Rattus norvegicus: one gene and its partners. The protein of the gene in region 2 interacts with the protein of the main gene of each other region in a pairwise test. Links are inferred from orthologs where the notes say so. Each region holds a gene or a part of one and is shown on either strand. Other genes may lie near its edges.

What was found.
Region 1: the proteins of Ythdf1 (region 2) and Prrc2b interact in a two-hybrid assay, tested with the Homo sapiens proteins (2 studies listed by BioGRID, with this or other methods). The link is inferred for Rattus norvegicus from reciprocal best matches to the Homo sapiens genes YTHDF1 and PRRC2B.
Region 3: the proteins of Ythdf1 (region 2) and Dhx30 interact in a two-hybrid assay, tested with the Homo sapiens proteins (2 studies listed by BioGRID, with this or other methods). The link is inferred for Rattus norvegicus from reciprocal best matches to the Homo sapiens genes YTHDF1 and DHX30.

What each region holds. Positions count from the first base shown.
Region 1 is NC_086021.1:35,861,689-35,865,851, forward strand, and holds the start of Prrc2b (protein PRRC2B), read left to right. Parts: upstream 1-1,362; 5' UTR 1,363-1,417; coding exon 1,418-1,532; intron 1,533-2,049; coding exon 2,050-2,227; intron 2,228-4,163.
Region 2 is NC_086021.1:188,414,941-188,418,885, reverse strand, and holds the start of Ythdf1 (YTH domain-containing family protein 1), read left to right. Parts: upstream 1-1,145; 5' UTR 1,146-1,289; coding exon 1,290-1,316; intron 1,317-1,682; coding exon 1,683-1,707; intron 1,708-2,860; coding exon 2,861-2,940; intron 2,941-3,945.
Region 3 is NC_086026.1:118,972,463-118,976,612, reverse strand, and holds the start of Dhx30 (ATP-dependent RNA helicase DHX30), read left to right. Parts: upstream 1-1,349; 5' UTR 1,350-1,399; intron 1,400-1,484; exon of another isoform or gene 1,485-1,916; intron 1,917-1,955; exon of another isoform or gene 1,956-2,073; intron 2,074-3,109; 5' UTR 3,110-3,201; intron 3,202-4,150.

The DNA of each region.
Region 1 (4,163 bases), about 150 Mb from region 2:
AGCAAATGTCTTTATTGCACTAAGCTGTATCTGCAGCTCCCACATGCATTCCCCCCACTTTGATTTTACTGTGTAGCCCTGGCTGTCCTGGAACTCACAGAGCTTCACCTGCCTGTCTTTGAGTGCTGGGATTAAAGGTGTGCACCCCCACCTCCTGGCTCACCTGAAGTTCTTCAGGGCATTTCCTGGTACACACTGTGTTCGCACACTCCTGCAGCACCTGGCCAGTCTTCATGGTTTGTGCCCGAGCTGCCACCTGCGCCTCTGATGCGTCAGGAGACAAAGATGTGGCATCAGTGACTCTGTCTCAGCTGTCGTAATCGAGTGTTGCTTCTCGTGCTTCATAGTCTAAGGTCGTGGTGTGCGGATCTGTCCCAGACACCCATCTTATTGGGCTCCACATGCCTCCCAGGAACACTGATGTGTTCTCCTGGCCCAGGTAGCTTCAGGACAGAGTCACAGGATGGCAGATTCGCTGTGACAGCTGTCTCCTCCTTCTCCCTTTTCCTAGACATCCTGTGAGGCCATGAAGGACATGTGACTGTGATACTCGGTGGATACTCTTGCTTTTTATTCCATACTTTGCTTCGGGGTTAGGAAGTCATGGCCCTTGCACAGCCAAGTTCAGCATCTCTACTCAGGGCTGGTGTAGAGCGGGAAGAAGGTGGGGAAGGTTGGTCTCGGTCTTGGTTTCACTGAGCACAGAGCTCACCGATGGTAGACAGGCATTTAGTGTTGGAATGAGTGGATGGATGGATGAACGGGTGAGTTAAAGAGCAGACAAGGAGAGTGCTGGTAGGCATATTGGAAGGTAGAAGCTTCCAGTCTTTTTGAGGTTTTGTCTTCGTGGAGGGGAGGTGCTGGTACAGCTTCTCACAGCCACCCCGCTCTGTTGCATGGCTGCTGTTCTCCAGGTGCTGACTCTCCCTGGCCCATGCTGTCCTTGGTCCCAGGTCACTTGCTGGGGTGCGTTTCCCTTGATCTGTGGCTCCGGCGGGCTGTGCTCCTCCCTCAGGCTAACTTGCTGCCTTTGGTAAGAGCTGGAAGTCAGGAGTGTTGTTTCCTCTTAAAAGAGTTGTCCTGGATTTGGAGAGTGACGGAGTGTGTCAAAATCTATTCACAGTGTGGCACGGCAGCATTCTCCAGCTTGTCTCACCAGCATGGCTTGAGTGTGGGTGTGGTAGCCCAGGCTATCTGCAGAGCCGGCGGCCTGGAGCGAGCACCTGTGGGTAAACGCTGAGGGCTTTTGCCTCGGGAGAGTCCATGGCTGTCCTTTCACCTTCAGGATGTCCTCTCTTCCTGAGGGATTCGATCCTCTGTATTGTCCACTTGGTGACTGACCTCCTCTTTTCCATTTCAAAGGCAAATCGGGAGCGGTGCCGAGAAAAATTTCCTTACTAGATGACATTTCATCGCAATGTCCGATCGTTTGGGGCAAATAACCCAGGGCAAGGATGGGAAAAGCAAGTACTCGACTCTCAGCCTGTTTGACAAGTATAAAGGGAGGTCAGTAGGCGCAGTCAGATCCTCAGGTAAGGCCCGGCGAAGGCCCCTTGTATGCTCACCCGCTTCCTTCCCTTGTAAGATGGCCAGGCCCGGCCAGGCACATGTGTCCCTGAAGACTAGTCAGTGTGGGCAGGCAGCAGGGGTGACATAGCCTCACCCCTCTTACTTTCCTGGGTCTGACTTTTGGACCCTGGTGGAACAAGTTCATGTAGGATTTGTCGCCACCCACAAGGCCTTCCTAGGGGTTCTAGGGGCGCAGCCAGGACCATGTCATGGTGCAGGGGGTGGTCACTGTGGGCTGAGCTTCCTGGGCCTGACTCCTTCCTGGCAAGAGCTCCTCCAGCTCTTTCCTGCCAAGGTAGAGTGCAGATGCCCGCAGTCTTTTGTCTGTAGTCTGGGGGAGGAGCTGGCGGAGGCTGGAGCGACTACCATGCTTGTCTTAGCTTGGCTTTTGTTTTTCTCCTCAGCCCGCGCAGTGGTGTGTGTTTTGGCCTCTCTCCTCCCGTGAGGTGTGTGCTCTCTCCCATGTTCTTTTCCTTGCAGTTATTCCTAGACATGGCTTACAGAGTCTCGGGAAAGTTGCCACAGCCCGGCGTATGCCACCGCCTGCAAACCTGCCAAGCCTGAAGTCTGAAAACAAAGGAAACGACCCCAACATCGTGATAGTTCCCAAGGACGGGACAGGATGGGCCAACAAGCAGGACCAGCAAGACCCAAAGAGGTGAGCTAGCTGCAGGAGGAGGTTACTGGGGAGGACGTTGATGGTGGGGGGCTGGGCTGTCAGGGCGCCCTGCACCCTCTGCTCTGTGGGACGCAGGCGTGGCCGTGTAGAGGGAGCTCTGGGGGTAAGGAGTATGGACAGGTGTCTGTGACTCTGTGCTCTTTGCTGCTTGCCTTTGTTTGGCTGGGCCTTTGAGCTGCTCGGTAAGTAGCATTTCTTTGGATAACCATATCCCCAAGGGAATGTGTGCAGTGACTGAGACCTGTCCCCGGAGAACCACTAGGTTGGGGTAGGGCCCTGTGTGCTCCATGTTAGGAGAATGTAGCTTAGCAGCTACAGCCTTAGGAGACTGAAGTCCCGAGCCATGCGTCTCTAGAGAGACAGCAGGCACTTGGCCTGCACAAGCTCCTCAGATGGTGAGCCTTCTGTGCTCCCTGCGTCTCTGTGTGTGTCAGGGAGGAAGCCGAGTCTGGGGAGGAGCTCCAGAGGCAAAAGCCTCCCGTTGGAGCTTGCTACTGGGTCCTGGGCTATTTAAACAGTTTGCAGCCAGGGAGAGTGGAGCACGCCTTTAACCCTGGCTCTCAGGAGGCAGAGCCGGTCATATCGTTACAAGTTGGAGGCTAGCCTGGTCTGCATAGTGAATTCCAGGCTAGCCCGGGCTACATGGCGAGACACCATCTCAAACAGAAACAACAAAAAATACTGTTTGTGAGGGGTGCTGTAGATTGGGGGCGTAACACAACCGTCAGGGTCACTTGCCGTTTCCAGTCAGGTCATTTGTGATTTGCTGGGACTTCTGAACCTGGGGGGTCCCACCTTCAGGGAGAAATAGTCCCTAGCTCCAGGGGTGGCCACCAGGGCACTGTGGTGCACTCTGACGCCGAGGGTGCGCACGGGTCGGCTGTTACCACCGTCCGTTTGCATGGGGGTCGGCTGTTACCACCGTCCGTTTGCATGGCAGCCATGGTAAGATGTGCTACAGTTCAGTGGGGATGCTGGACTCCACTTCTAGGAGCTGCAGAGGGGAGAGCCGCAGAGGGCCACCCCTCTTGGTCTCCCAGCAGTGGCAGGGGCAGTGCAGACACCTGATGAAGGCCTCTTGCTGAGGAGGGAGTGAGGAGCACTTGAAGAGGCTCCCATTGCCCTGGCCTGGTCTCCTGTGGGGACTTGGGGATACAGAAGTGCCACTACCTGGAAGCCTCATTTTGCCATTTTTGTGATGGGTGAGTGGCTGGAGTTGGTTAGCAGTGTCCGCAGAGTTAGGCTATCAGCCGGGCCCCTGGCAATGGCTGCTTCTCACCGAGTGGGCTGTCAAGTACAAAGCTCTGCTGTGGAAGAGCGGAAGGCTCCACGTAGCCCTTCCTGTTGTCCTCTCAGACAGTGGGCACACGCTGCTGCAGCCTCTGTGGAGGTAGTTGGTGGTAGCTTGGTCTGACAGCTTCATCTCCGTGATGGTGTGACTGGGTTACTTACCCAGAATGCCCAGAGCCCTGTGCCCGTGTGGTCTAACATGTTTGTTGCAGTTCTGTCTGTAATGGGGAAGAAAGAGGAGCAGGAACTAATTAACTTATAGCTCCTCCAACGGCTGTTAGTCACCATTAAAGGAAGTTTATATATATGTATATATATATATATATATATGTATATATATATGTGTATATATATATATGTATATATATATGTATATATATATATATATAATGGACTGGAAGAAGAGATTGTGGAATTATATGTATGGGGCTATCTCGTGTTAAAAATATTATATGAACATATGTATATGGAAACGTGGGAATCAGAGTTTATCTATGTGGGATGAGATGGTCATGTCTGTTACTGATTTTTATACATTTATTTTTATTGAGTGCAGGCATATGCTGAGGCAGGATAGGAGTCTGTCAGTTGTCAAAGCATTTGCTCTGAGGAGGTGGAGAGGAGC
Region 2 (3,945 bases):
CCCAGTGATCCACCTGCAGGTGCCTCCCTCTGGTGTCCTCTTACTGACAATGTGTATCAGAAGCTAGGACATTTACTCCAACAAATCCAGGGACCAAACTCTCCCCAGAATGGATGTGTGGATGCATCTGGGTGTTGGTCCCTAGCAGTGTTCTTGCAGTCATATGATGGCTCACGATTTGCCTGTTATTCCAGTTCTAGGCAATCAGACACCTTTTCTGAACTTCACCCGCACCAGGCACATACATAGTGCACATATATACGTGCAAGGAAAACACTCATACATAAATGTATGTATTAAATTAAAAGGGCTAGAGAGATGGCTCAGGACATTAGAGCATTTGCTGCTCTTTCAGAGGATCTAGGTTAATTCTTAGCATCCACTTTGGGGTCCGAACCATCTATAACTCCAGTTCTGGGGCACCCTCCTCTGGCCTCCCTGAGCACCAGGCACACATGTGGTGCATAGACATACACGCAGGCAAAACACTCATACACATAAAATAAAATTAATCTTTTAAAGCTTATATTCAAAAGATTTGTTTTATTTTGTGTGTGTGTGGGGGGGGGGGGTAGCGAGTTCCCTGAGCAAAGAGCTTGCCTGAAAGTGAATGACTAATGGAGTGAGTTCTTTGTTGGAGACTCTGAGGGACCAACTGAGCTCTCCCCACGTGGAACCCAAAGGGGGACGCCTAGCTTTCCTCAAAGTCCTCTTGTTTTTTACTCTGGGTGATGGAATCGGGTACAGAACCTAACGTGAACATTGGTCACACACTGGCACGCTCCGGTCAGGCCCAGATTGGATAGGTCAGCCCAGCAGCCACAAAACTCTGGGACAGGTGTAGCTTAGCTACAAACTCCCACCTTCTCCCCAATAGGCGCCGCCCCAGGAGCCGCACGTGACTCCCTGATCGCCCCGCCCCATCCGGTCTGGTCCCGCCCCTCCAGCGCGAGACTGAGTCCCAAGCGCGAAATCCTGGGCAAGGAGCGACGATGCGCAGGCGCGGTAGTGGCGACTTGACGGCGCTCCCGGCCTGCCCCGCGCGCTGACGTCGCGCAGCTTCGTCCCAGCCGCCGCGGCCGCCATTGGAGTCGGCGCCCCCTCAGCCTGTCCGCTACCTTCCGCTGTTTCCCGCTGTTCCGGCCTGCGTGCCTACAGCTGCCGCCGCGCCCGGCCGCGCCCGTGGAGTTGGTGGCGGGGCACGGGACCGCGCGCGGCGTGACAGGCCCGGCCTCGCGGGAGGCCCGAGCCGGCGGCGCCGGGGTCCCGCGCCGCGCTGTTCATGAAGCATGTCGGCCACCAGCGTGGACCCCCAGGTAGGGGCGTCTCGGGACCACGGTCACGAGACCAGACCGTGGACAAGGCAAAACAGAGGTTGCGGTCTGGGTCGCGCTGGGGACCTGGAGACTGGGCTGGGGTTAGGGTGCGGGGTCCGGGCTGGAACAGGGAGGCCGGGTCAGGGCTTGGATCTCAGGGCCGAAGATCTGCATACCAGGCCGGGCTGGAGTTCTGGGGTCGGATGGCGGGGTCGCTTGGCTTGGCTGTGATCAAATTATGGGAGATCTGGAGGCCGGGCCGGGGTCGCAAAGCCCTCCGGGTAGCATTCTTCGCATAGTAACTTTGTGTTTCCTTTCCCGGGCTGGGTGGTGTCCACCCGCATATCCTGGCCTGCGGCGATGCAGAGAACAAAAGGACAAGAGAATAAAGGTGAGGAGAGTTCCGGGAAGTCTTCCGGACTTTGGAGGAGAACGGGGCAGCGCCAGCCCGTGTGGACAAGAGAAAGTCCACCAAGCCGGCCTGGGATCCGAAACTTAGTTTTCTCCGTCAGCTTGGAGGAGATGAAAGTTTCCATTTCCGGGGTATTTGACAGATTGGAGGGGAACTAGAAAAAAAAAAATAAAGGCGTACCCGGAGTAGTTCAGATAATATTTTGCAATTTCCTTAATGACTCTGCCAGAACAGTTACCTGGTGGGGAAAGAAGTGGTGATAAGACGGCCTTGCAGAGGTTAGCGGGGCTGAATGACTGACTGGTCCTCTGTTGCTAGGTAGTGGATGGCTCTGGAGGAGAGTCAGCCAGCTAGCTGTGGACCGGGAGGCCCTGCCCTCCACCCTTAGTTACAGTCATTGTAAGTTTGTTGTTATCGCCTGTGATAATTCTGGCTTGTAATAAACTTCCAAAACTCTTGTGAGAACTCGAGAGTGACACTAAATCTTTGAAAGACTGTTTTTAACCAGTGCGTGTTGTTGTTACTTGGGTGTAACCAAATATGGTTCATCGTGTTTTAAGGTTGGAAAAGGCCCAACACTTTATTTACCATTCCTTTCCTTTCCTTTACTGGCTGTGCACTGTAACAGTGGAAAGTAAGTGGAGAATCAGATGATAGTGAGCTTGGGTTACAGCCCTTTCCAACCGAGCATCCTTCCCTCAGATCTCTGCGTAACTGGGCTTTTAAAGCGTGTGTCCTGTTTGCCTGGAACAGGTAGATCTGAGACACTGTAGATTTCTGCATCAGCCCGTGGCCTAGGGGAAGCCCTGGGTTCAGTCCCCCGCTTCCGGGTGGGGGAGGAGCCATCACGAGACTGGCTCAAAGTCTGGCTGTAAGTTTCTTGCCCTTTGTTTTGATTGCAACAAAATGACATCTGACCAAATTATGATTATATTTTTACTTAAAAGAAGGAATTTAGGAAAAGTTGTTCAATGCCATTCTAACTAGTCATGTAAGCATCAGCTCTCTATAGAGAGTGTACCCATTTTGAAAGAAGATCATATCTACCAGAAATTGATGAAAATAAGGTTTCCATGCTTAAAAGTATTTTTTTTAAAGTTTGGAGATAATGTCTTGCAACTTTTTGTTCTAGTACAAAATGGTTCTTTGCATCAGAAGGATGCAGTTCATGACAATGACTTTGAGCCCTACCTTTCTGGACAGTCCAATCCGGTGAGTTTATTTTATTAGTGTAATTTTTATTTAAAAATATGCTTGTAATAGGTTTACTATAATATGTCTACTTTTCCATCCCACACAGCAAAGAGACAGGCTGGGAAGTATTAGAACTGATAGGTGGTCTTGAAGATTTGCTTTGTGCAGGTCTTCCTTTGGGCCTGGGCCTGAGTGGTGAAGATGGTCTTCTCTCTGTAGGAGAGCATCCCCTGGAGGTTGGGTTCAGGCAGACTTAGCATTTGTGGGCTGGTGGTGGAGTGCTTATGATTTATAGGACTGTGTGGGTCCCGTAAGCTTTGCTTGTGCCATCTTTATGTTGTCTCTAGAGGGTTGGAGTTACGGTCTAGGAGAGTAGGTAAGCACTGGACAGTGCAGCAGACTCCTTTTCTGTGTTCTTCCTACATCAGGAGACTTGCCTTCCCTGATTCTTAGCTTCCTTTTGTATGAATAAAAATCCTAGGCTGGAGAGATAGCTCAGTGGTTAAGAACACTGACTGCTCTTCCAGAGGTCCTGAGTTCAAATCCCAGCAACCACATGGTGGTTCACAGCCATCTGTAATGAGATCTGATGCCCTCTTCTGGTGTGTCCAAAGACAGCTACAGTGGACTTATATACAATAAATAAATCTTAAAAAAAAAAAAAATCCTGCTCTCAGGCCTGTTGGGAGATTGGCATTGGAAAGGGCATGTATAAAGCACAGAATGAGCACCTTATGATCAGGATTTCTTACCTTTGGCACCATGAAACTCCTTCTGTGTTCATGTGTATGTATATACAGGCACAGGTCTGTGTGGCTGACTAGGTGTGCGAATGGGGGGTGGTGGAATAGATATGCTGACCTGATGCTAGTATGCAGATGGGGGATGGAATGCATATACAGATGTGATGTTGAGGTCAGGAATAATCTTTTGTCACCTTCTGCCTTATTCAGTGATGCAGGGTCTCTTAAACCCAGAGCTTGCCAGTGTGGCTAAGTCTAAGTTATTTTGGGAATCTCCTGT
Region 3 (4,150 bases), on a different chromosome or scaffold from region 2:
CCAGCTTCTGGAATAGTTGAAGTCACCTGTGCTGTGGCACATTTAAATGGCTGCACAAAAAAACAGCATATGAAAAGGGGCTGGAGTTATGGTTCAACGGTCACCAACACTTGCTGAATCAGTAGTTTGTTACTGTTTTGTTTTTTGGTTGATTTGACAAAAGCTAGAGTTGTTTGGGTATCGAACCACAATTGAGAAACTGCCCCCACCAAATTGGCTTTTGGGCATTCTCTTGAACGACTGATGTAGACAGGGTGAGTGTTTCTGTTTTTTTGTGAAGGGGGGGTGTCTCCCCTGGGGAGACAGGAAATTCTGGGTTGTGTATCAGCTTGCACAAGCCATGAGACCTAAGGAAGTAAGCAATGGTTCCTCCATGGTTTTTGCTTAAATTCCTGGTCTGACATTATTCAGTGGCTGATTGTCACCTATAAGATCAAGTAAACCTTCATCCCCAAGTGGCTTTTGGTCATGGTATTTTTACCTCAGCAAAAGAAAACCTAAGATAACGGCGGGGCCCACATCAGACCGTATCTCCAGCTTCCAAGATCTCATGACATGTCAGCTGGTACATTCCCACACGCATACGCATGATATTTTCTTTGTTTTAAATTACGAGCTATAGTATTAGTTCTCCAATTATCATGAAAGGCATCCTCAAATATTCTCTTCCCAGCAGTGAACTACTGACCAACGCCACTGAGTTTCCTCTACCAAAGGATGAGTCCATTGAACCCATACTTCATTCTGCTCAGAGCATAGATAGGGAAGCCTTCCCTTTCCTCGCTCCTGAGAGGCGATGTGACCTAGACTCGTGGTTGTCACTCACCACACACCCCCTAAGCTAGCAGCAAGCGCTACCCTGTCCTTTGCCTGGTTTATGTCTCTGTGAGGAAAAATGGCTCACCTCCCTAAAAGTGCAGAAGATCAAGGGGAGGCGCAGGAGAAAAAAGGCGCAACACAGAGCTGAGGTTGGGGATGGCGAGAAGAACCAGAGACGGCCATCCCCCTCCCTAGCTCCCGCCGGCTCCCACGGCACAGGCCACGCGCGTCCCTGGCCGCTCCGCCGGAAGTCCCGCCTGCGTCTGAGGCTACAGCCGCGCGCCCTCCGGCCAGTGCCCGGGCACAGGCTCAGACTGAGCGCCTCGCGCTGTGAGCTCAGGAACATTAGAGACAACCTAGGCCACAGAACACCTCGCGAGCCCCTAAGAAGCGACATCCCGCACAGGTGGCTAGGCGAAAGGCGAAGGCCGAGCAGCGCCGGGGCCGCAGGTGGGACTTCCGCCTCGGAACCCGGAAGGGACCGCGCCGTCGCTGGTGGGAGTTGTAGTCCGGCCGTAGTTGGGGGGGCCCGCGGCTCATGCGCCGTGCACCGAGGCTTGTTTCACATCTGTAACAACAGGTGAATTGGGCTTTTTATTCTACCCTTTCGCGCCCCTTGAAGCAGCCTGCCACGGTCGGGGGTGGTCGGCGCGAGGAGGGGTCCCGAGTCCGGCTGGCGACCTGGCGGAGAGTGGGAAGGAGGAGCTGGCGAGCCTGAGGAGCAGGCCGGGCATCCTAGGCCTGCCCGGGAAGCCGGCCGGGCCGAGCCGTGGGCAGTCAGGCCTCGGCCTGCCGTTGCCATGGAGCCGGGGCGGGGCGGGGGCCAGACCGGTCCGCCGGGGCGGGCCTCGCTGCTAGGGGCTCCGCGGAGGCAGAGAGAGGCGGCTTCATTGGCTCGACGACGCCTTCGCCTCAGGGGATGCTCGGTTTTCCCCTGGCTGGGCCCGGAGGAAGTCTCTCGAGTGCCCGAGACCTTTGTCTGCCCCTCCTCCCACTGTGCGGTCAGGACCGTTCCTCCGAAGGGAGGCCTGGTGCATTTTTTACTCTTCTGGTTTGCCTCCTTTTGCACCGACCTTGTCAGTGGGGGAGTCTAAGGGGTGAGGTGTTCTTTGTTTGCTAGTGACTTGTCCCATTTTGCAGGGGAAGACCTAATGCATGGTGGGTCCTTTGTTTGCAGTGAAGTGGAATCCCAGGGGTCCCGAGAACCCTCAAGCCAAGAGTACTGCATCTATGGGCTTTCTAGATAGTCCTTGTGTAAGCAAGTTTGGTGTTTTAATTGCGGCTTTCCAATGCAGAGACTGTTCACCTTACAACCTCCAGTTCATGGGTGCTTGCCATGCACGGTAGCAGGTAGACTGCAGCAGTCCAGTTGCAAGGTCTCAACTTGTTTTTGGGTGCATCCTACTGGCCAGAGTAAAATTACACATTTTCTGATGATTTTCCTTGTAACGGTTTCTTGGAAGGCATTGACCTCACTGCCATGTGCCATGCAACTTTTGACTACATTTATAATTTATACTTAAATCTTAGAGTCTGACATTTCCAAACCGGGGGACTGTTTCCTGATTTTATATGTTATTATTTAGATTTATGATAACGCTTTTTGCTTGTACATTTATAAATTCTTTGCCAAGGTTTATATCTATGTAGTACCCCACCTGACACCCAAAGATCTTAACTTTTCAGTATTTTAATTTATGAAGCTATAGTCCAAAAGTTTTATCAGCTTTTGGACCCCACTCATTCTTTCAAGGAATGAACATGTTACATGTAGAATACAGGTTGATATGTAAGGAAAGTAGTGTAATATAAACATGTAAAAACATGGGAGTCAGAATTCCATTTTGTCCTGATGCTTTGGGATCCTGGGTAAATTATGTTTGTGCTTCAGTTTGTTTCTTGGGGAGAGGATACTCTCCATAGGGCAGCTTCAGGGATTATATGAGGTCAAGTCTTTGTAAACTGTGAAAAGGTTTCTGGGATTTTTGAGATTGTAAATTTCCCAGAGTGGAAGTGTCATTTTCGATAGATAGGTATTTTAACCACTATGGGATTAGAAAAGTGAAGGAAGGGGCTTTGCTCTGGGCTCGGGGAAAATGTCCTTAACATTTCCTTAAGGATGCTCTATGGCACAATTCACATTTGGTATGTCTAGAACAGGTCAGGGACTCTTGAGTGAGTCCACTGTGTGAAAGCCTGTTAAAGTTAGTACATTGATTTCTATGCTTGGTATAGTTTTGCATCTGAGTGAAGGTCACCACTCCAGTGAACTTGCCTTGTTATTTTCCAGGAGGCCCAGCCTCGTGATGAGGAATAGCAAGGAGAGAATTCAGCTCCAGTTCGAAAGCCTGCAAAATCTGAGCCCCTCACTGCTTTTATAAGGTAAGGTGACTTATCCCTGCTCATAGAGCCATGGTATGCATTTTGCTCAGCCACACCGTAAAGCATGTAGTTAGCTCCTTTTGTGGTCCTCTAAGGCGTATTGTTCATTATTAGTGGCTTGGAGACATCACGTAAGCAGTGTACTAGAAGTTCTGTTTTCTCACAAAAGAGATTTTGACATACTACAATTTTATGCATCTCTATAAATTATATTAAACTGAATCAAAATTTTTTTAAGATTTATTATTATAAATCTTAAAATCAAAACTGAATCAATTTTTTTAAGATTTATTATTATAAATGTGGCTGTCTCCAGACATAGAAGAAGAGGGCATCAGATCCCATTACAGATAGTTGTGAGCCACCGTGTGATTGCTGGGAATTGAACGCAGGACCTCTGGAAAAGCAGCCAGTGCTCTTAACCTCTGAGCTACCTCTCCAGCCCTGAATCTAATATTTTAAGAAACATTACCATATTATAAGAGAAGCACATTTCTTCTGGATCTCTGCGAAATGTTCTAGAACACAATAAAATGAAATGATTTGATACCTTGAATCTCATATTTTTTGAGATGAAGACAGGGAAGACTGTGGTATATGAAACTTTGTTGACAAGAGAGGATCCAGAGACTTTAAAAGCAAAACTCTTCTAGGTATGGTGACTCCTGTCTGTAATTCTAGCACTTGGCAGCTAAGATAAGAGGGTTCCTTTGAGTTTAATCACAGTCTGGGCTACAGAGTGAGTTCTAGACTAGACTGAATAACAGAGTGAAACTTTATCTAAAAACACCCTAAAAATGAAAACCAAATTTAAAACAAAACCCAAGGGGCTAGAGAGATGGCTCAGTGGTTAAGAGCACTGACTGTTCTTCCAGAGGTCCTGAGTTCCAATCCCAGCAACCACATGGTGGCTCACAACCATCTGTAATAGGATCTGATGCCCTCTTCT